5 linked regions of the Nothobranchius furzeri genome follow. The protein of the gene in region 1 purifies or fractionates together with the protein of each later gene. This does not show direct contact. Links are inferred from orthologs where the notes say so. Each region holds a gene or a part of one and is shown on either strand. Other genes may lie near its edges.

The links.
Region 2: the proteins of Na(+)/H(+) exchange regulatory cofactor NHE-RF2 (region 1) and prkd1 purify together in Homo sapiens (affinity purification with mass spectrometry; 3 studies listed by BioGRID and IntAct, with this or other methods). This does not show direct contact. The link is inferred for Nothobranchius furzeri from reciprocal best matches to the Homo sapiens genes NHERF2 and PRKD1.
Region 3: the proteins of Na(+)/H(+) exchange regulatory cofactor NHE-RF2 (region 1) and kctd5b purify together in Homo sapiens (affinity purification with mass spectrometry; 3 studies listed by BioGRID and IntAct, with this or other methods). This does not show direct contact. The link is inferred for Nothobranchius furzeri from reciprocal best matches to the Homo sapiens genes NHERF2 and KCTD5.
Region 4: the proteins of Na(+)/H(+) exchange regulatory cofactor NHE-RF2 (region 1) and phlpp2 purify together in Homo sapiens (affinity purification with mass spectrometry; 3 studies listed by BioGRID and IntAct, with this or other methods). This does not show direct contact. The link is inferred for Nothobranchius furzeri from reciprocal best matches to the Homo sapiens genes NHERF2 and PHLPP2.
Region 5: the proteins of Na(+)/H(+) exchange regulatory cofactor NHE-RF2 (region 1) and lysophosphatidic acid receptor 2 purify together in Homo sapiens (affinity purification with western blotting; 3 studies listed by BioGRID and IntAct, with this or other methods). This does not show direct contact. The link is inferred for Nothobranchius furzeri from reciprocal best matches to the Homo sapiens genes NHERF2 and LPAR2.

The regions. Positions count from the first base shown.
Region 1 is NC_091752.1:53,720,801-53,725,014, reverse strand, and holds part of Na(+)/H(+) exchange regulatory cofactor NHE-RF2, read left to right. Parts: intron 1-3,403; coding exon 3,404-3,619; intron 3,620-4,214.
Region 2 is NC_091758.1:8,117,333-8,121,546, forward strand, and holds part of prkd1 (serine/threonine-protein kinase D1), read left to right. Parts: intron 1-1,506; coding exon 1,507-1,605; intron 1,606-2,055; coding exon 2,056-2,216; intron 2,217-2,389; coding exon 2,390-2,496; intron 2,497-4,214.
Region 3 is NC_091756.1:32,816,136-32,820,349, forward strand, and holds part of kctd5b (BTB/POZ domain-containing protein KCTD5), read left to right. Parts: intron 1-904; coding exon 905-1,013; intron 1,014-3,783; coding exon 3,784-3,875; intron 3,876-3,993; coding exon 3,994-4,089; intron 4,090-4,214. UniProt on the Homo sapiens protein: Its interaction with CUL3 suggests that it may act as a substrate adapter in some E3 ligase complex. Does not affect the function of Kv channel Kv2.1/KCNB1, Kv1.2/KCNA2, Kv4.2/KCND2 and Kv3.4/KCNC4.
Region 4 is NC_091749.1:59,352,603-59,357,595, reverse strand, and holds the start of phlpp2 (PH domain leucine-rich repeat-containing protein phosphatase 2), read left to right. Parts: upstream 1-1,963; 5' UTR 1,964-2,108; coding exon 2,109-2,336; intron 2,337-3,182; coding exon 3,183-3,466; intron 3,467-4,993. UniProt on the Homo sapiens protein: Protein phosphatase involved in regulation of Akt and PKC signaling.
Region 5 is NC_091744.1:9,323,433-9,328,400, reverse strand, and holds the start of lysophosphatidic acid receptor 2, read left to right. Parts: upstream 1-1,707; 5' UTR 1,708-2,340; intron 2,341-4,968. UniProt on the Homo sapiens protein: Receptor for lysophosphatidic acid (LPA), a mediator of diverse cellular activities. Seems to be coupled to the G(i)/G(o), G(12)/G(13), and G(q) families of heteromeric G proteins. Plays a key role in phospholipase C-beta (PLC-beta) signaling pathway.

The sequences.
Region 1 (4,214 bases):
CCGCCGCCTGGACCACCAGGAGAGGATGATGTGCAGCTTTCAAAAATACCAGCTCAACTGGCTCACTGGAGTCTGGGTCGGATCCAGCTCACAGAAGCCCGCATGACCTCCAGAACCGGATCACAGGCGTCTTTCTCCCTCTCTAAGCGCTAAACTACGTTACGTGAACGGATTCTAACGAGTCTGAGACAGCTGGCAGACGCTCATTAGTATTAATATTATATTAACTGACCAATACTATTTTAATTGTCTGGTACATGTCGTAATCTGTAAAAAAATTGTGATGGTAGCGCACGAGTTTAAGCTAGCCTCGTTAACTCACCTGCTGCTCCCCCGCTGCTTCCCCACATTCTCTCTGCGTTGGCCGATGGTTGGTCTTTGCTACAGGGGCGTGCAGTAAACTCATAACTTTATGGTTTTGGTCCATCAGAAGTAAAATTATAAACATTTAAAATTTCCTCTGTGTCAGAGCCGCCATTAGAGTCCATAGTTTTCTCTGGATTAAGCTAACAGGGCTCCCTCAGCTGACGTCGCTTGGTTTGGCAAAAAAAAAAAAAAAAAAACATTTCTCACAAAAAATAATAAATAATTAAATGTGTGAAAAAATTAATGTTTTAAACGAGTTTCTATTATGTTTCTCTAAACATTGGTTCATGGGAGTCTAACCTGCAAGTTGCTCTTTAAGGACAGATGTCGATCGCAGAGCGTGCGCCAGAGTTTGAGGATGTACCTAGACGGATGCAGAGTTAGTGACCTTTCTCACTTTTCTCAAAGTAAATCTATATTATATAATTATTTCCAATCTCACCCTCCGTGGGTGGTCTCATCCTTCCAAGCTCGGGTCCTCTCCCAGAGGCCTTGGAGCTTGAGGGTTCTGCGCAGGTTTCTGGACTGAGATGTTGGATGTTTTTCCTGGGATCTGCTTTAGCCACTCCTCCAGTCTGGGGGTTACAGCCCCGCGTGTCCTAGTACTTCCATAGTTTCTCGTGTTCCTTTGTGCGACCATATGACAAAAATTTGTTGCTTTCTTCTGTAACTACAGAAGTGGTGAGACAGGCTTAAGGTGCAATACATTTGTCCATCTCTAGATGGTGCTGTTGTGTAAAAACACTGTATTTCTGCTTTAAAGGGGTCCTTCAGTCATTTTTGTAATACATTTGCAGTGGTCTCTACTAGGAATGAATGCCTTGTAAGTCGTGCTCTGGGGGAAAATAGCTCCGGTGCGCCTGTTTCAGCATGGAGAATTCAGCCAAAGGAGAAAGTAGCTTCAGATTCAATTCAATTCAAAAATACTTTATTAATCCCAGAAGGAAATTGATTGCTGTAGTAGCTCAGAATAATAATAATAATCAAGTCATCAAAGAGTTGTTGTATATTACAATGGCTGTTGGCAGGAAGGATCTCCAGTAACAGTCAGTGTTGCAGCGAAACTGAAGAAGCCTCTGACTGAAGACACTCTTCCGTTGTCGGACAGTCTTGTGAAGAGAATGCTCAGGGTTGTCCATCATTTTCTTGATTCTCTGGAGAATGCTTCTTTGCATCATCTCCTCCAGTGGGTCCACAGTCTTCCCCAGAACAGAACCAGCCTTTTTTATTAGGCTGTTGAGTCTTTTCAGGTCCCTGCTTCTGATGCTACTAGCCCAACAGACGACAGCTGAAGAGATTACACTCTCAACAACAGACTTGTAGAAGGTCTGCAGCATCTTGCTACAGACACTGAAGGACCTAAGCGTCCTCAAGAAGTGCAGTCTGCTGTGTCCCTTCTTGTAAACGGCTTCGCTGTTCTTTCTCCAGTCCAGTCTGTTGTCCAAGTGAACTCCAAGGCATTTGTATTCCTCAACCACCTCCACTTCTTCTCCCATGATGGAAACAGTGTTTGACTCCACCCTGTTTCTTCTGAAGTCTAAAATTTCACGTTCAAGGTCAGATGATTGTTTCCACACCATGCCACAAAGCGCTCCACTAGCTCTCATTACTTAGCTTCCTGTCCGTCTCTGCTACACCCGACAACTGCAGAGTCATCTGATGCTTGAACATTTCGCCTCTGTTCGTCTAACAGCAACACACCTGTACCACTGACTCTGTTTGCTCTGCAACGTTGATGTTCCATCTCCATAAATAACACAAGCATGGAGGAATTCTGCCTTGTGGTGGAGTTGCTAATGCTAACGGTTAGCTTCTACTAGTTGAGACATTCTCTGCTGTTTGCTGGAAGCTAAACCAACAACAGCCTTCAGCGTTACGAGACAAGAGGAGTCCGTGAATGTTAAGTGACAGAGTGACGTAGATCTGTCAGGATTTTTAAACCCTAGAGTCTGTTTTCTATCAGCAGCTAAAGCAGGAGATAGGTGTAGGAAACTATTTTCATGTTTAGCCTGCATGAAAAACTCAGAGTGACAGATTATAATCAGAAGAAATCATTAAAAAAAAGTATTTTCAGTGTTCCATATTTTTAAGTACTGGTGTTCATGCCAGAAGTATTTAAGCTGTGTTGTGGGTCTTTGGAAAGACTGAATCCAAGTATAAAAGTATCTTAACAACTTTCTGATGTTTGACGATTCTGCTGCAAAAACAAAAAACCTTCATCTTTAGCCTTAGGTCAGCTCTGGTTTGTATTGCTTTTAGGTTTGTTTTGGTAATCACACCCCACCTCTTGGTTCTTGTCAGCTAAGCACTCTATAATGGTTGTCTTGTGGTATCATTTTTGTCCAGATAATCTGAGTTTCCTTTTATCCCTGTTGTCCCTTTCAGTTCTGTTCCACCTGCTTCTGCAGAACTTGTGCCGCTATAGACTCTTTACCTGCACATACGAGTTCTGGGTTTGTTTGTGGAGATGGAAATAACTCCTTCCAGCTCACATACACAGTATTACCAAAAGTAATGGAACGGCTGCCTTTACAAAGTCATGACTGTTTGTCCAGGAGTGCATTTATGAGCTCAGATGATCTAATTTATACTAAAGGCGTTCTATCAGGCTGAGGCAAGGTTAGCTAACGACACATCCCTACTCTGGTCCTGCATGATTCCTTCACCGCTCTGACACTGATAAAAACTAACTTACTGTGCATAACGCTGGATTTTCTCATTGCAGTGTGGTTGTTTTGTTTTTGCTTTGATTAGAAACCATACAGATTCTACCTGGATGAGACAAGCTACGTCTGCAGATCTCTGATTTAAAGTGAACGGTGCTTTTTGAGAATGGTGTTAAACTTTCTCTGTTTCTGAATTCCTGTGGTGCATTGGCATCCGTGAAGTCAGGGATAATTATAAACCCACGAAGAATCAACCACTGTTAAATAAATGTTATTCCTGCAGCCAATGTTTCAGCTTTGTGTTTTTTTTTTTTTATGTGTCAAATTATTGTGGGTAAGCAAAATAGAACATGTTTTTTATTCTCTCCTAGGAGTCTCCATCCCAGGAGGACGAGCCGTCGGAGTCCCGTCCTCAGATTGACCCATCTGAGCTCGTCCCACGCCTGTGCCACCTGGTGCGGTCCAAGACGGGCTACGGCTTCAACCTTCACAGCGATCGGTCGCGACCCGGACAGTACATCCGATCCCTAGACCCAGGATCACCGGCAGATTCTGCTGGACTTCGGCCTCAGGACAGGCTCGTTGAGGTACGCTCCTTCTGTGTAATACCAGGGTCTTTAAAACCGAAATGTTTCAAAGTTTCTCTTGATAAGCTGAGAGAAAAATGTCCAGACGAGCATTGTGTGGGTGTCTTTGTTCACAAAAGCCCTCGGCTGACTCTGCAGAATGGGGGAAAGGAAAACGATAGGATGATTATTTATAAATGACACGCCGTTTGTCTGCTTCACGTCAGAGTGGAGGATAATTAACAGCATGTGAGAAATTTACCACAAGAGAAGTGCTTTAACCCCTCACCTTGTGTGTGTGTGTGTGTGTGTGTGTGTGTGTGTGTGTGTGTGTGTGTGTGTGTGTGTGTGTGTGTGTGTGTGTGGTTTAATTTCCACTCAACTTTCCATTTTATCTTCTGTGAATAATAAATAACTATCTGACTGGAACACAGAGCTGTCCGCGTGTTTCCATCGCTCTCCCCTTTACAAATAATCTAAATTTTCTGCATACAAATAAAACAGCAGGACAGTTTTTGGCATTTTGCTTCACTTTCTCACATTAATCAGCTACAGATGTGACACCCCCCGAGACGATCACAGCTGACGGCTTTCTGAAATAGAGGGCCAACATGTT
Region 2 (4,214 bases), on another chromosome or scaffold:
CTCCATTCTCTGACATGGTCAGGAAGAAGATTGGGGGGTGGACACCAACAGACCACTGAAACTGACCCACAAGACCAGTAATAGTGTTGAAGTGGAGCTTAGAGAATAACTCTTAGCCTAGTTGACCCTGAACGTGGAAAGGATCCGGTCCAGTTTTTGTACGGCTTCTGCATCATTAAGAAATTGTTGAGTACAATCAGAGCGTTCACACCAGCTGTGGTGCAGATCCGGACCTGGACGCTGCATGCAGATTATGACGAGGGTAAAGAAATGAGATGAGCCAGACTGTGAGACATGTTTCAGTGAGGTGCATCTGGTATATCCCAATTTAATAAGCATTTTTGGCCAGCTTTAGTTTTAGTATTAATGACGGTGAAATCAGTTTACAGTGAATGATGGTTCACATCATTTTTACAGGTGCATATTTAAAGCTATAATAACAAAACAAGCTAGTTTTTAAACACAAACGGTTTCACAGAACTTTCACCCTCCTGTCGGCTTTCATCCTCCCGATGTGGGATCGCCAGAGTAAAGGAGAGCACTAAACACCAGGTGCTGTATTCTTGTTCCAAACAACTTTTGTTGTCTGTCACATGAAATGCTGATTTTCTTTTTGGGACTCTGCTAGTTTGTCCTAAAGCTGAAGTGGTAGCAGCCGGCTGTTTCTCCTTCTCTGATTCAATTAAATTAAAATTCAAAAATACTTTATTAATCCCAGAGGGAATTAGAGATGTTATTGAGTGGAGAACCTCTCACAGTGCATAATGAGTGGAGGACCCAGGTAAATTAAAATGTGCAGCAGTTTGGTGAGACTGATTACCGGATTCATTACATTTTTTTCTTTTTTTTAAACTCCCCACAAAATATCCATAGCTATATGTTAAAACATTAAAAGGCAAATAAAGAGGTTTTAAGCTAGCTTGTTTTGTAGATTTGCCATTGTAGCTTTAAAGGTTTTGTGTCAAATTTCTAATATTTTGGTGCCCTTGTGGGAGCAGATATCTGGATATGTTCAGCAGTCGGATTGAGTGGCAGTGAGTCTGGAAGTGAAATGGAAACCGGACCGCCTCGTACCACTCTCGGTGTGAAACAGCCTGACATGCTGGTCAGTGGCAGAAGCACGTTATATATCAAGGATTATTAGTAAAACTGCAACATCTTTGTCAAATTTTCTGATGTAAAGTTGGTGTTTTGATGTTGAGTTTTCATTAAGAACCTTCTCGTTACCTGGTGAACAATGTTCACATGTCAAAACAAAGAAGTTGTCTAATGAAGATCACCTGTTTTTGTCTTCATAGAGTGTTCTGCTGCTGTTCTATGTACTTCACAAAAGAAACCTGCAAGCTGTAGAGCCTCTGATTTTGAGATGGACTTTGAAAGTCTTTTGCCCAACATTAGTAATGCTGACCCAGCCAAATTAACACTAGACAAAAACATTTTTGCTTAGTGTCCACAAAATAAAACCACATTTCTCTTGGTGTAATAGTGGGATGTTTCTGTCTTTAGATTCTTGTGGCTTTGCGTCATCTCCACTTCAAGAACATTGTCCACTGTGACCTGAAACCTGAAAATGTGCTCCTGGCCTCTGCAGATTCCTTTCCTCAGGTATTATCTGTATTCAGGCTTAATGCTTTACTGGTTTGTTTTAAAACTTGGGCCACTAAATGGCTAACTGCTTTCCAGATTCAGAACCAAATGATGTTTAAGTGCAGCGGCACAGTTACGAGAACGACTACATGACCTGCACTACTTTATTCACACTTTGTTTCATACAGAAAGACTTTTTTTTTTTTTTTGCTAAATCGTTTAGGCCAATCGTTGAACAAATGCAGTAATAAATGAAAACTGGTATAAAATGAAAGTCCCTTATATGACATATCACAAGTAAAGATAATTTGGCAATGTTAAAAATAATAAAAAAAAATATATAAATAACCTTTTACTTTTTAAGATGTGAAACTCAAACATTGACTTCCTTTATTAAGGCCTGCCTCTGGTGAGAGGTGATGGTTAGGGTGAGATCTTTAGTAATACTCCTTCATTGTCCAACTGCAGGTGAAGCTTTGTGACTTTGGATTTGCTCGAATAATTGGTGAGAAGTCCTTCAGGCGCTCAGTTGTCGGCACGCCAGCATATCTTGCTCCTGAGGTCCTGAGGAACAAAGGTTACAACCGCTCTCTGGACATGTGGTCTGTCGGGGTCATCATTTATGTCAGGTAGGGCATCATGTGAAGGGAAGGTTTTTGTCTCAAAGGCATTACCCAGTTGGTGTTTATAGTTATTTAGGTGCATTAGAGTGTTTGTTTGTGTTGACTTTAATCCATGCAAACACAATCTAATGTCGGTTAAAGGTGCAGTGCATATTTCAGTTGTAAAACTCTGCTTGCAGTCTCAGTGGAACATTCCCTTTCAATGAAGATGAAGATATCAACGATCAGATCCAGAATGCGGCCTTCATGTACCCTCCTCATCCCTGGAAGAAAGTTTCCCAGGAAGGTACGTAATCCAGCTGAAACCCTTAGTGACTGGATCTCAGCATCCAAACAGGGTTTATGGGTATTTCATCTCAAACTGATCTAATACCGTTTAAGCAAGTAGTTTTCCTTTCCTTCGCATATTTCTCTATCGTTGTTTATTGTTTTTAAAATGTGTTGTCTGATGTGCAAATAAACATTTCCAATCAATCAATCAATCAATCAACAAATCAATCAATCAATCAATCAATCATCTGTCTATCAACAAATCAGTCAGTCAGTCTGTCTGACTGACTGATTTGTTGATAGATAGATGGACAATCAATCAACAAATCAACCAATCAATCATTCAGTCAATTAATCATTCAGTCAATCAACAAATCAATCATTCAGTCAATCAATCATTCAGTTAATCAATCAATCAGTCAATCAATCAATCATTCAGTCAATTAATCATTCAGTCAATCGATCATTCAGTTAATCAATCAATCAGTCAATCAATCAATCATTCAGTCAATCAATCATTCAGTTAATCAATCAATCAGTCAATCAATCAATCAATCATTCAGTCAATTAATCATTCAGTCAATCAACAAATCAATCATTCAGTCAATCATTCAGTCAGTCAATAAACAAATCAATCAGTCTATCTATCTATCAACAAATCAATCAATGTGGGAACAAATTTAAAAGGGTTTGTTATAATGTTGTGATTTAATCTGTTTGGATTACAGGAGTGAGACCAGGCAGGAGTGAATTAACAGTCAGTGCTTTTATGACAGAATTCATTAGATCTCTTCTTGGTGATGAATCGACAAGTTCATTGATGTGAACAAAATGTTGGTGGGAAAAGTAAACATTTTATGATAATGTACTCAAAAGCTTGTCCCAGTAATGGATTAGAGTATAGTATTAGGATAGTTTAGTTAGCATTGCCAGCCATGTGATTACTATTGAGATACGGAGTTACTGGTTTAATCCTGATCAGTAAAAATGTTTCATAATGAGTTGATACTGTTTAGGGCACTTGCCACTAGAGTTGTCTGATCTGTGTTAAAGGTGCCTTAAACTTTATGGACGATGGTGGCAGAGGAGTTAAGTGCCCTCCCCATAAACAGAGGATGGCAGGTTAAAGCTCCACTCAGTCTGCCGTAGTTGTGGTGTCCTTAGGCAACACCCTTCTTGCCTGCTGATGGTGGTCGGGGCGACTGGTGGTGCCATTGTTTAACAGCCTAAATTTTGTCAGTAAGCCCCAGGGCAGAATATCAATGGCAGTCCATGCTTATTTTCTTTTGCTTCCATTCGACTTCACCAGCAACTCTCCTACATTTACTATCCTGGTTGTTTTGGACAAGGTCTGCCAATGTAATTTCCCACTGAGTTACGACCAATCAGTGTGAGTTAAGCTCAGCTACTCCACCAGGCTGTTACGAGTAGCTACCCTGGATAAGGTACTCCAAAAGTTCCTGAAAATGGCCAATTGGCCGGCCCGGTCAAGTGGAGACACAGGCATGTCGGGAAGTTCCCGTAAATCTCTCCGGACGTTCCGGTAATGGAAACGCACCTATAGCTGTACTTGGTTTCACGCCATCTGAAAAAAAAAAACAAATGTAAATGTAAATGGCCAGTATTTGATATAGCGTCTCCCAGGTGCTTTCCAACACAAACATTCATCCACCCATGCACACACACACATTCACACACTGCTGATAAACTACAATGTAGCAGGGGTAGACTGGC
Region 3 (4,214 bases), on another chromosome or scaffold:
AGAGGACTCCGATTCATTACAAAGAGAAATGCACTGGGACTTGCCTCATTATTGGAGAGATTAATGGGTTTTCAGCTGAACTCATTTGTGGACAGTAGATGCATCTCTTGGTGAGGGCACAGCTGTGTGCTTGGTCATGAAAGTGTGACCATAGCAGTTGTCCTTTCTTAATGTCACAGATTGCATCAGAAATATTTGCTGAGGACAAATATCCAAAAGCATTTGAGGATTTGTACAAAGTTTGCTTAAGGCCTTTCCTCACACCGAGGCTCATCAAATGTGGAGCTGTTTGACTCACTAAATGAGGCTTGACATCTGCACAAACCACCTTTTATGAGTATGTGAAGGGTTAACCCCATAACACTCCAGATGAGGCTAATTAATGGTGGTAAGTGAAGGTGCTACCTCCCAGTCCCCTCAGTGGGATCAGTCGGTTGTTTCAAATCTTTTTCTGTTCTGCTCTAATTGTGTTAGCTTGCTCTTCCCCCGCGAGAGATAAAGACGGTCTAATCACAGCACAGAAATAAGGGAATACCCAGCGGTTGTGCAGGAATCAGGGTGAAACCCAAGGCCTGTGATAATACCCAAGTGATTTCCCAAAGCGGATGTGTGTGTGGCGCCGTGTGAGCATGTCATCTCCGCCTCTGTAGAGAACATTGGCACAGGAGCTGACCTCAAATTTCTCATCCCTTGAGTTTTCTGTAGTGGGAGCTGTTTCTGTCCAAGACAATGTTTTGATTACTGCAGGGGTCTGCTTTCCTGATGGACATCTATAAACGAAGCAGTGACACTTCAGAAAATAGTTTGCCATAAAGGTCTCTCACTTTTAGAAGACGCAAATGCTGAAATGTTCGTTCAAACATAAATGGCAGCATGATTAATTCTTGTGTTTTCTGCTTCTCAGGATGAAACTGGTGCCTATCTCATTGACAGAGACCCTACATATTTCGGGCCGGTGCTTAATTACTTGAGGCATGGCAAACTGGTGCTTAACAGGGACTTGGCAGAGGAAGGTAATTATTCTGACCCTCAGTTTCACTCCAGCACAAAAATAAAACAAACTCAACCGAAAACACTTTAGTAAAACTAAAGCCGTGGTCTCGTTGGGCTGCAGCTGCTGATGGTGAACAGCATGTGAAATGTTTTTCTTGCACGAGTCACTAGACTTTGCCGTTTCTCTTTGAACATTTTTGTGAATAAAAATCCAGACATACAAGTATGACTCAGTGGTTTCTGTCATTACCTGCATCTAGACCCATCTGGGCCTTTTTTCTGTGATTTTGAAAGTGGAGTGTTTGTGAGGTAAATTGAGGAACTGGCAACAAATCTGTGGCATTTTGATGTTCAAAACATGATTGTAAACATGCTGGATTGTGGCCAAGAGCTAATTTCCACGTGATGGGAACATACAAGGTTACATTATGACATTAGTTTATCCATGAGACACTTTTAACTGAATTGCAACAAAGAATTGTGTGACAGTCACACGACTTTCACCGCTTGTTTGCAAAATACGTCCGATGTCTTGTGTAAACTGGCAAGTCAGTTTACTGTGTCCAACATAAAACTGACATGATTTATTTATTTGTTCTCTGTCGTTTGGTGAAATACTGGCTTAAAAGAATATATTGTTGCAAATTAAAAACTTTTGAAAAAAGTGTTTTGTATTTTCAGGATTTTGGAAATGAGTACATTTTTAATAAAGCACTTGAAACTTTTAACTGGCATAATACAATACATTAACTTTGCGAGAAGAGGAAGTGCAATAGTTCAGAGCATGTATAAACTAGCCTGGCAAGCCATCCTATATACACTCACTGGCCACTGAATTGGGTACACCTTGCTAGTACCGGACAGGACCCCCTTTTGCCTTCAGAACTGCCTTAATTCTTCATGGTATTGATTCAGCAAGGTACTGGAACTATTCCTCAGAGATTTTGGTCCATATTGACATGAAAGCATCAGACAGTTGCTGCAGACTTGTCGGCTGCACATCTATGATGAAAATCTCCCGTTCCACCACATCTCAAAGGTCATCTATTGGACAGTGATCTCATTGTCATGTTCTAGAAACCAGTTTGAGATGATTCGAGCCTTATGGTAAATGGCCTGAATATGAAATAGCGCCTTCTAGAGTCCTGGAACCTCATAAGGTGCTTAACAACAGTCATTCACACACACATTCACACCCTGGTGGTGATGAGTTACATTGTAGCCACAGCTGCCCTGGGGCGCACTGACAGAGGCGAGTCTGCTGTACACTGGCGCCACCGGTCCCTCCGAACACCACCAGTAGCAACGTGGGTTAAATATCTTGCCTAAGGACACAGCGACAGACTGAGTAGGACTCAAACCTGCAACCTTCCGATTACAGGTGAGCACTTAACTCCTGTGCCACCATCGCCCCTTATGACATGGCACATTATCCTATTGGAAGTAGCCGTCAGAAGATGGGCACACTGTGGACATAAAGGGATGGACATGGTCAGCAAAAATACTCCGGTAGGCTGTGGTGTTGCAACGATGATTAATCGGTACTAAGGGGCCCAAAGTGTGCCGAGAAAATGTCCCCCACACCATTACACCACCACCATCCTGAACTGTTGATACAAGGCAGGATGGATCCATGCTTTCATGTTGTTGATGCCAAATTCTGACCATACCATCTGAATGCAGCAGCAGATATCGACTCATCAGACCAGGCAACGTGTTGGTGAGTCTGCATGAATTGTAGCGTCAGTTTCCTGTTCTTAGCTGACAGGAGCAGCACCAGGTGTGGTGTTCTGCTGCTGTAGCCCATCTGCCTCAAGATTTGATGTGTTGTGCATTCAGAGATGCTCTTCTGTATACCTTGGGCGTAACGAGTGGTTATCTGCGTTACTGTTGCTTTTCTATCAGTCTGGCCATTCTTCTCTGACCTCTGGCATCAACGAGGCATTTTCGCCCACAGAACTGCAGCTCACTGCGTGTTTTCTCTTTTTCGGACCATTCTCTGTAAAACCTAGAGATGGTTGTGTGTGACGATCCCAGAAGATCAGCAGTTTCTGAAATACTCCGACCAGCCTGTCTGGCACCAATAATTGTGGCCAGAGAGTGTATGTGAATAGTCTTGCCACGACCCATGGACAGCTCTCAGTTGTAGGGCGGGATCTACGGTTGTCTTTCAAATGGTCTCTACATGCTATCAGACAACAAGTAACGAGACGTACTCACTGCTACGGATGTCAGTCAACGGGGCAGTCCACCATACGCTCAAAGAAAACACAAATGCATCCTTTTTTCTAATAAAGGATTTAAGTATCTATCTGCTCTTTACTCGAAGAGAAACCAAATTCTAAATGGTCCAAAGTTGATGCCAAAGCTATTTCAAACAAGCAGTCACCATCTTAGGTTTGCTCAGTAGCAGTCGTTCACCACACCGATAAAGAACTGTGGCTGACCCACCAGACGGATAGAGCACTGTGGCTGGCATGCCTCCAGACTGGCCAGGGCCACAGAGAGTCCAATGGAGTGAGGCTAGACTGCCATGCAAAGCAAAATCATTTTTCTTCTGCTGCAGACGGTTTAGATTTCTAGGCCATATATGTACAGTTCAGTTTGTCTTGAGTGTAAATTGTCACCAATTAAAGGATCTGGAAAGTCTTGAATTCACCTTTTGGTTTAGGAAAAGTTATAAGGACAACTTTTAAATGTAACATTACCACTTAGATACTTTTGGATCATTTCATAGCCGTGGTTCTGTTTTTTTTTACATGGGAATGAGATGTTTGTTGCTCCTGTTAGGTGTGCTGGAAGAAGCAGAGTTCTATAACATCACATCATTAATAAAGCTCATCAAGGATAAGATCAGGGAGCGTGACTGCAAAACATCCCAGGTATGTTCCAGTTTCTGCAGACACACCAGTTTTCCAAAGATCTAAGTGTCACAATTCCTATATTCATACAAAATAGGTTTAAAATCGTCCCATCTTCATCTCATTTGGTTTGTGTCAGGTTCCAGTGAAGCATGTGTATCGGGTGCTGCAGTGCCAGGAGGAGGAGTTGACACAGATGGTGTCCACCATGTCTGATGGCTGGAAGTTCGAGCAGGTAAATCTCCTCCCAGCAGGGTTGCATCAGCAGTCGTCCTGTCGTGCTTCACCCACCCTGCTGTGCTCAAGTTGACCCACAAAGTTCCAATCCTTCATATTAGAAATGAATTTGAACAAAACAAA
Region 4 (4,993 bases), on another chromosome or scaffold:
AGAGGTGTGTGTGTGTGTGTGTGTGTGTGTGTGTGTGTCAGAAGATGATCGCATTTGAGAGTGTGTGATGCGGGAAACTTGTCTTTTGTCTACATAGGACTTAATTTTTGGCTGCATTTTCAACTTCTGAGCTGCATGTGAAAAACTGTAAATAAGGCCATTTCTACTCTTGACGAAAAACCTATTTTTTTTTCTTTTGCAAATGCAAGAAAAGTTTAAATATTGAAATCTGTCACGCCCCTTTTATGGGTCAGTACTAACGTACAATTAGAAGTTGTTCAGGAAGCGCTCACAATTTTGTTACTGCTTTGTTTTGTTTTATTGTTTAGAGCAAGTTCAAATCCATAGTGTGGATTACTTGGACTTTTTTTTCCCATGAAATTGCTGAGTAAAGGGCTTGGAAGAGCAACTAAATAACCACCATGATTATTTTACCTGTTCAATTAAAAAATGCATCTACTGTAACATAATCTGGATCTCCTTCCCTCCTCCGAGGCCTGTCCTGACTGAAAATAAAACGATGTCTGGAGCCTTCTTTTTGGTTTTGATCTTTATTTTTCTGTTTTAGTTTTTTTTCTTCTTTTTGTGGAGTGATGAAAGGCACGAGTTAGACTTTTTTCCTCATCAGCTGGACACATCGAACTGCTTCCCAGTTCTGTGGCTTGAAGGAGTGTGAATGCAGGACTGAAAATATGAAATGATTCGTAAAGATGAAAAGTTGTAAACTATTAAATGGAATATTTTCAATTTCATGCTGTGTATTCTTGTCTTTGGGTTGGAGAAAATGATCAAGCGAATAAAACGTGAAATAAAAACAAAGCTGAACTATGGAAGTCTGTTGTTTGGGTTTAAATTGTGTCTGAAGTTTGAAATGGGGCTCATTTTAAACCGTTGGAGCTGAGAAGTGATTTTAGCTCACAAAAAGCAAAGAGGCAAAAGAAAGTTACAGAACTGTTCTGATCAGGGAGTCGCCAGGGGTAGCACGTGCCCCAGCCTGCAACCTGATTATGAGGCACGCGCTTAATTCTTGTGCCACCATCACAAAAACACCAGCTGTAGCTTAATAAATAAATGTTTATGAAGAGTGCTAATACTTAGTATAATAGTATTATAGGCTTTCTTGTTTTCTAGTTGGAAGCTATTGCCCCTCATCAAGCCGCCCCGATGGGTCCCAAAGGGAAAAAGCTACACTCAGTTTGATTTGAAATATCTTCTATGTCAGCGCTGGTCATGACTCCAGACTCCGCAGTAAAAAATCTGGCGCCCCATTGGCGGTTTTAAACAGGGGCCTGGGCTCCTATAGAACCGGCCCTGGCCCCTGTTATGGCCCCTGTGCTGAAGAGATCGGATTTTTGTCCCCTGCGCTGCCTCGGAGACGGGAACTAATGTGCTGCAGCGTTTCAAACGGAGCCTTTAGAGCGCAGCACACTCTGTGGACAGAACTGTTTACCTGGTGGATTTTTGAATAAAAGATTAAAAATAGTTTAAATGGGACCCAAAGAAATTCTTGAGGACGACTTAACGGAAAAGACGCTGAGAAACGAAGGCAAGCAATACAGTTTATTTTCCTGACATCAATGAATTTCCTTTGGCAAAATTGTGCACAAGCACAAAATGGCGACGACAAAAAAGAATTTTCATATTGCACTAATTTTTCCCTTTTTTTCTTGCGCCCCCATGAAAAAATACTGGCCCCCCTGGAAAATGTGGCCTACAACCGCCCCTGTCCAGGGGCCCTAAAAAAGTAAAAAAAAAATTTTAAAAAACTTTTCTTGCAACAATAAACTTCCGGTCGTGCCACACTTTTGCCCCCACCCCAACTCTAGGTCCGTCTCTGATTTTATTTGCAATGAGGAGGAGAGTAGTAAAAGTTGGCTCATTATTATTTATTATTTACCGGAAGCCTCCACCCTCTGACACAACCACTGGCTGGAGCAGTACCCGCCCCCCTGATGTTTACTGATCCGCTCTCCGGCAGCTGCAGGCCCGTGTGACAGCGCGCAGATCAGTCGGGATATGGCAGCGCGGCGCTCGAACGGGATGAAATTCCGTCGCTCCGCGGGAATTAGCGGCGGCACTGGGGAGGCGCTCGCCTTTTGGCGCTGTTAATGGGATCCTTCATGGCGATGGAGGAGGAGGAGAACAACGCAGCGGTCTCTGCGGCTAAAATCCAAGCTGGCATCAAGAAAGAAGGAGGGGATGTTGGAGATAACGGCGCCTGCATCGACAGGCAGCCGGACACGGTGGTCCACCAGGCGGGGCCGAACCTGACTGCGGGTCGCGGCAGCCGCAGTGGTCCCGGAGCTCACTCTGCAACGGGGATCCGAGTCCTGAAGGCAGGTTTCTGGTAATGGGAGAGGGTTTCAGGTCCGGTCACTGCAGCCGGTCAAACATTTGTGTTTGTATCAGAGAGAAACGGGCAAAGGATTTCTAACGTATCCTGTGTGTGTGTGTGTGTGTGTGTGTGTGTGTGTGTGTGTGTGTTGTGTGTGTGTGTGTGTGTGTGTGTGTGTGTGTGTGTGTGCGTGAGCGAGAGCGAGAGCGCACCTGCGTGTGTTAACTGGCTCTGGTACCCTGCTTACTGAATGACAATCATCTCTTATTATGAGCAACATTACATAACACACACACACACACACACACACACACACACACACACACACACACACACACACACACACACACACACACACACACACACACACGGAGGCCTACAGTTGTCTGACATGATGACGGCATGCTCTTTCATTTATTCCATCCTTTACTTCATCCAAGCAGATAAATGAGTCTCAGAGAACTTGTTAGAATAAAACAGTGTTTGTGAACAGCTGAGGGACAATTCTATATTACTATTATTATCTATTGTCATTTTAGGACATTCTAAAAATGTAAACATGAAGTTTATAAGGTTTTGGCTCTATGAATAAACATTCTGACAGCTTATCGGCTTTCAAAACATAATTTTTGAAAGTTTGTTAATCAGTGTTTACCACACTTCATGTTTTTAGGACATTTGAACAAATCTAGAATTTTTTCATTTGCAGTGGCGCCTCGGAGGGGGGTACATGGCCACCCCATGGCCCACAACTGCTCCTTAGGCATAAAGACATTCACATCTAGTTATAACTTATTAGTCATACAAATCCTCACATTGTTTAGGCTCTTACACTCTTTTCTACCAGCAGCGCAACATGAAGAGAAACGGGAGTCGAAGCTGTGTGACAAGAAAGACTAGATTTGGATCACGGGAGCGGGACTGGCTGAAGGGGGACACACAGCGGGGCTGCGTGTGCCTGTATGGTGGAACGGTGGACCCCCAACCACCCGCCTCTGGCCCACAGACCTCCTGCACCCCTCAGACAGACCTGCAGCTTGTGCTCTGCTCCACCAAGACCACCGTGGAGGAGCTGTGTGCCCAGAGGGACAGACAGGGCCTCTACGTTCAGCTGCACGGAGACCTCATCAGGTGAATGTCCTGCGCTTTTGTAGAGACAAAAAGCTAAAGATGAAACCAACATCATTTACGCCATTGCACAAGCATCTAAGCAGCTGCAGATCTGCAGCAGGATATTCACTGGATTTACTCTGCTCACCGTTACGTTGAACTTGGAACTCTTTGTCAGCTCACAGCTTAATGTGAAGTCATGCATTTAATAGAAAAGTAAACAAAACAGAGAAATAAATCATGCAGCATCAAAATGAGGCTTTGTATCTCAGTTGCACAGCTATAGTGGGAGTGAAACATGAGATATCATGCAGCATGTTTCAACTACAGCAAAGATTCCACAGGAAGCTGAGCACTTCCATTAGAGACGCAGCTGTTAGGAGCACAGTGATGCACATTAACATCTAACAGAAGCAAAGCACAAGAGTTTCACACAGACTTTCACATTGTTTATGTAATTTGAAACAAAAATGAGCTGAGGTTAACAGGAAGAACACGGCGCCGCCTCGTTCTCCTACCTGACTGAGACACACTGAAGGTTCAGGTGCTCCTCTCAGATCCACGAGACATTCAGAAATGATTGTCTGGGTCACTGATCCATGACCACAAAGCTTGAAAACCCAGCGTGGAAATATAATCCAAACGAGGACAAAAGCTTAGATTTAGCTGCAGTCACAGTGTGTTCAACTCAATTTTCTTAAAATAATGAACTTTTTCAGAAAAGCCTCCCAGCTCTGTGGTACCATCTAAAGTGCCAGTGGTTTTACATTCCAGATGTCTGACAGTGAGCTCAGTCAGGTGGATTTAAATCTCATATTCCTAAAAGCTGGCTTTTGCTGTTTGTAGCAAGCTTTGGATTCAATTTAAGCTAATGAAAAGAAGAATCCTCCAAAGACAGAATACACATACAGTAAAAGCCATTTAAAGTTTATTGCAATAATTTAAAAAAGGCATATGATCGTTATGTATCATGAAGAGAATGAAGCATGTAGAGATTGAAGAACAGTGGTCCAAGAACCGAACCTTGTGGGACCCCACATGTCATGAAGGTCTGCTCAGATTAGTGACCACCAATAGGAACAACATGCATCTGCTGTTGAGATGTGACCCTAAAGGGATACTAAGCACTTTGGTTTGCTTTTAGCACCCTCTAGTGTCTTTTAGTAAAAACAAAAGTAAAACTCATCTCCTCGCTGTTTGTTCGTTTTTTAACACCTTAATCTAACTGTTGAAATGTCTCCTCAGCCATCATTAGTGCCTACAGGAGCATTTCATCACTGAATCAAACAAATCAACTGTGTTCATACCAATACCAATACCAATTTTATTTATAAAGCGCATTCACAAGGCATTACAACCAAACAAGGCACTGTACACTAAAAATGTTAGTTAATTAAACCGGCGTTATACAGTCATGTAGAACAGAGATAAAAGATAAAAAGGAAAAACAACAAAATTTCTAAAACTAACAGTTAAAAATCAGTAAAACACAGGGAGAATAAAAAATTAGAAAAACATTTAAAAAAAGAACCAGAATAATGTGGAAGT
Region 5 (4,968 bases), on another chromosome or scaffold:
CTGTGGTTGACAGCTGGCCTACCACTGCTTTCACTACGATCATTCAAACTCAGCCGTATTAGTAAACAGGAAAAGGTGTTGGTTATATCTGTGGTTTTTATTTTCATAACATCTCTGTCTGCAGCATGATCTTGAATTTATTTTATTTTTTACCTTTGCTCTTGTTCTCCACTCCCCTTTTTTCTGTAACTTCAGATGGGTCCTGTGACAGTTAAGGCCGTAACTCCTAGTGTAATCAGCTCAACCCGGCTACTGGACTGTTACACACAAGATATGTAGGCTTAATACGAGACACGCTCTTCTTGTTGCTGTCAAGCAAGAAAAAAAAGTATGTGTCTGGAATTCGCCCTCTCATTGACGCGATGACCTGGGCTGGAGATCGTGTCACCAACCTTTGAGTTATAGCTGATCCAGACGGGGTTTTATTGCTGAAGGCTGAGGTTTATCTGCTACCAAGCTGTGAAGTCGTGTTTAGATTTGAATGTGTGAATGCCTTCACTCACCGTGTCGCTTTAACAAGAAATGTCATTGTTGTCGTTTTTGACAACTTTTCCATGAATGCTTTTAATTAAAAGGCAACAGTGAGGGTGGAGGTGGACTGGAATACCATCTTTGTTCTGGTTTTGCCGGATCCACAATAGATCTCCATGGTTCCTGCAGGAAGTCAGCAGCCCCCGCGCCCCCCAATGAATTTTCAAAGGCTTGATAGGTCTTTGCTGATAAGCCCTCCTTCAGGCCTGACTCCAGGGCCTTATACTTTGTATCAATACAAGATAACCTTGTTCTTTGTTATTTTTTCTTCTTCTCTTTTATCTTATTTGATTAAATCTCTATCTTCTCACCCAGGACCACTATTATTTACATGATATCAGCAAGAGCTGTTTGCCCCTCCGAGCCCCGACACCCAGGAACTCAAACCCCTCCTTCATGGTTATTCATGAAGATGTTTTATATAGCGCCTCCTCAAGATAAAAATCACAAGGCATTTCAGAAGAACAAAATAAAAATAACAATAATATTTAAAAAATATTAAATACGGAGAAGTAAAAATTGTGATTAAAATGGGAGAAAAGGGAAAGAGAAAAAGAATAAGAATGAGGTAATCAGTGGATCATAAAGGATCATGAATAAATACTGAGTAGCTGAGGAGATTTAAAATCCTTCTGCGTAAAGTAAAAGTCACGAGAACGGAGCTGGTGGACGTCACAGTGTAAAAAGTTGGAACCCACTGGTCAGACCAAACCACCTGGTTGTAAAAACAAAAGCTCTGGATATCCCTGGGTAGGTTTATCTTATTTATAACAATTAACAGTTAAAAATGAGCTAAACTGGGGAAAAAATGCAAATAAATGAATGGAAATGATATCAAAAGGGTCAGAATTCTTATTCTAACAAAGGCCTTGAAATGTTGCATGATGAGATTACACAAATGGCTGACTCACTACTTCTGAACTACTTCTTCCTCACTGGGGTCATGAGGGGCTGGTGCCCAGCTCCAGCACTCACCAGGCCAGATGTGAGGGACACTCTGGACACTGGCCTGTGGAGGAGGAAACTGGATCATCTGCAGAAAAACATGCAGAACGGCTGCAGCTGGAACCTGCAACCTACTCACTGCAAGGCAAAGTGCCCCCACTCAGCCCATGACACAAGCATTTTAACAAACATTTCTCTGATTTTTCACATTAATGAAAAAGCAATGGGTGACATTCAATTCAATTCAATTCAATTCAATTCAAAAATACTTTATTAATCCCAGAGGGAAATTGAGTAGACACATGTGCATCTTTAGGCCTCTGGGTGAAATGGTTTCCCACCTTTGTACTGGGATCCCTCCTTGGCTGCCCTGGCTCTGATCATCCACCTCCCTGCTGTGATCATCGGCCTTTTCTGGTTGAAGCCATCCTTTCCTAGCGAGGCTCTGATTGGCTGGTCCTTCTTCCCATCAGCCGACAGGGGGCGACAGGAGGCGGCTCCACAGACGTGAAGCGCTCCAGCCTAGCTCCCTTGTGGGACAGAGCTGCGCACTGTGCAGATCAGGAGCTCCGCACCGCGGCTGCCGCACCCTTCCCTCAGCGGAACGCTGCGCGCAGGTAACGATCTGCTCAAATTACCGGAAGCGAGATTCCGTTCAGGTGACGGAGGCCGAAACCCACCGCGCTAAAGTTTCAGGGACGTGAAAACTCCCCCCGGGGCAGAGCTTTGATGTGATCCATCCACCTCCTCCACCTTGGGACAAACGCTCGTTTCTTTAAAGTGTTTTATTTTTATTTCTTTCGTCTTTCAAAACTCGATGTTTGTGGAGCGCAAGTGACCCGAGGAGGACTCGACCAAGGACGAGTAAGTAGATCTGTTTTTTCTCTTTGTGAAACAATCAGGTGGAAAACCCGGAATTAAGAAACTTTTCTTTTTAAACTGCAGTTTCATCCCTAAATCCGTCCATGCCCCTTCTGTGTAATGCCCTCATGCTTCCAGACAACTTTACTCTAGTTTCAGCAGAAGAATGTGTTATCTCCTGCAGATAAGACTTTTGTATCGTCCCTTTCCCGGATGCCCCTGTTGCACATTCTCCAATAAAACAACTCACTTTAATAGGATTTTCTTTAGTGGTTCTGTTTTGTAGCAAACAGGTTTAACAGGTTAAATCCACCTTATGATAATGCAATCAGAACAATCCTGCAATAAATTGAAGGATCAATGTTCAGGCGTTGTTGACACACTGCACCTTTTTTACCATCTGTAAATACTACTGCACTGATCATTTTTTGCATGCACACCTGAAAACAAATGTTAGTTATAGTAGAAAAACCAGTGCATTGCTAGTAATATAGATTTTTTTTCAAAATAACAAGCTTGACTGAAACTCACTTGTTGGAAATGAATGAGGAAACTCAGCAAATTATCTAACTTGAGCCAAACTGTGTTTGTTTTTCATAGTTTTGCTCACCCTAAGGGTGTAGGGAATGGATTTATATTCTGAGAACAAGATGCAAATTTCTGTCATTACCATCACACGGTCACCTTGGTCTTTAGTTTTTATTTATTATCAACATGGAACATTTCTAAAACATCTCAGGAAATGTGAAACTCCCCACACTTTCATTTTAAACGGCTTCCTCACCCCCAAAAAGATGAATGAAAAACTCAACTATACCTATTTCTGTTAAATACCTTTAAACATCTTCCCTTATGGCCTGTTGTCAGTCACACATTCTTGCTTTTGGTTTCGATGACCACAGAAGATGATGGAGGGATGAAATTTGTTTGACTGAACGAAAGAAAAGGGCATTTATACAAATCAGAATGTTCCACCATGTGCATGTCACAGGAAAAGCACACCTACATATGACTCCTGTGGTTTGATCAAAGAACTAATCATAATGGGTTGGAAATGTGTTTTCCCCCACCGTCGTGTTAATTGTAACCTGTGTGCTTTTCTTGCCGTTAAACCGCCAAGACTTTTTTTCAGAGGCGAAAGGAGGGAGAAGAGACCTGGGTGTGGCTTTTCTTGTAATGACTGGTTTGCATTCAAACCAGTGTTTACAGATTCAGCTGGGTTTTTTCACATACAAATAACAGACAAGTTACACGTGAAAACACACAATCCTGCTAACATTGTCCAACTAGAGCTGCAAAAAGTCCATAGGGACCTACACACTTGCAGCTTTTGCACATAAAACAAAAAAATTCAACTTTTATGGAAAACAAATCACAAGAAAATACTATGCTGCTGTTTTATTCTGACATAAGTTATCATTTTATATTTATAGATAAAAAATGGGAATGCTTAAATTGCTACATTAGTGCTAGGAATGGGGGAGGGGAGGCAGACGAGGTGTTCTTGGTTAGGAAGGAGGTGGGGAGAAGGGATATTTCCTTTGCAACTACCCTTTGTCCTTTTCCCCCCACAAAGCTCCTTAGGCATGAATGATAACGGGCTAATTAGTGAGTTTAATAGGGTTTGTTAGGTGAGTGTGAGGCTGGCATCAAGCTGTGCTGAAATTTGAGTTGGTTGTTTACATACCACGTCAGGGGGTCCCATTTGCTAGGAGGGTTTTGTTCTTGTCACATGTTCTTTCTGAGGGTTAAAAGTCCATCTCTAAATAAATCCATTTAGGGGGATTCTGCGCAACTTGTGCATTACACGCAACTCTGAGACAAATGTTTACAGATGTTCCAGATGGCTGACTGTTGGCTTTGTGTTTAAGGAAATGCAGCCATTTTTGTCGTTTAATTCTTTGGAGGAAGAACGAGGATATTTCTCATCAAGACAGCTTTAGGTTTGCATTATTTTCCTTGGTTTAGATGGGGCATGTGGGGAAATTATTGAGATCATGAAACAAGCTAGCCTGGTAAACCATAACCTGGCCAAAACCCATTGAAACCATCCAGTCGTACTGCACAATCTATGGTTGTCTTCCAAACTGTCACTGTACACAATTGGACAGCACAAGGACCAATCAGAGCAATGAATAATGTCACGTGTTCATTGCTGCAGAAATCAGTCAACGGGGCAGTCTGCCGTACACCATCAGAGAACAAGCAAATGCATCCATCTGCTCATGTCTCAAAGAGAAGCCCAAGTCTACGTCGTCCAAAGTTGATTCCAAATCTGTTTCTAAAGAGTGCCATTTCTGTATACTGCCATCTTTGTAGTTCGTCTCCATCAAAGTTCTAGTGCTAAGTCTGCTCAAAATCAGTAGCAACAGTAGCAAAAATGTTTTGCTACTGTTGCTACTGTTGGTCAAGATTTCTAGGCTACTCCTAAAGAGCTTGAGGGATTGAAGTCAGATCCCCCGCTGCTACGCCTCCAAGATATCAAGCATTGGTAACCTGAAGCATGGTTAATGCTTGACGCATTTACTTTCCGCTTGCTGATGCGGCTCGCGGATGGAACGCGCTTCACAACTCGCAGCGTTTATGGTTCATGCGGCTTGTCTCTGCGGTGAGCCAATATTCTCCCAAACT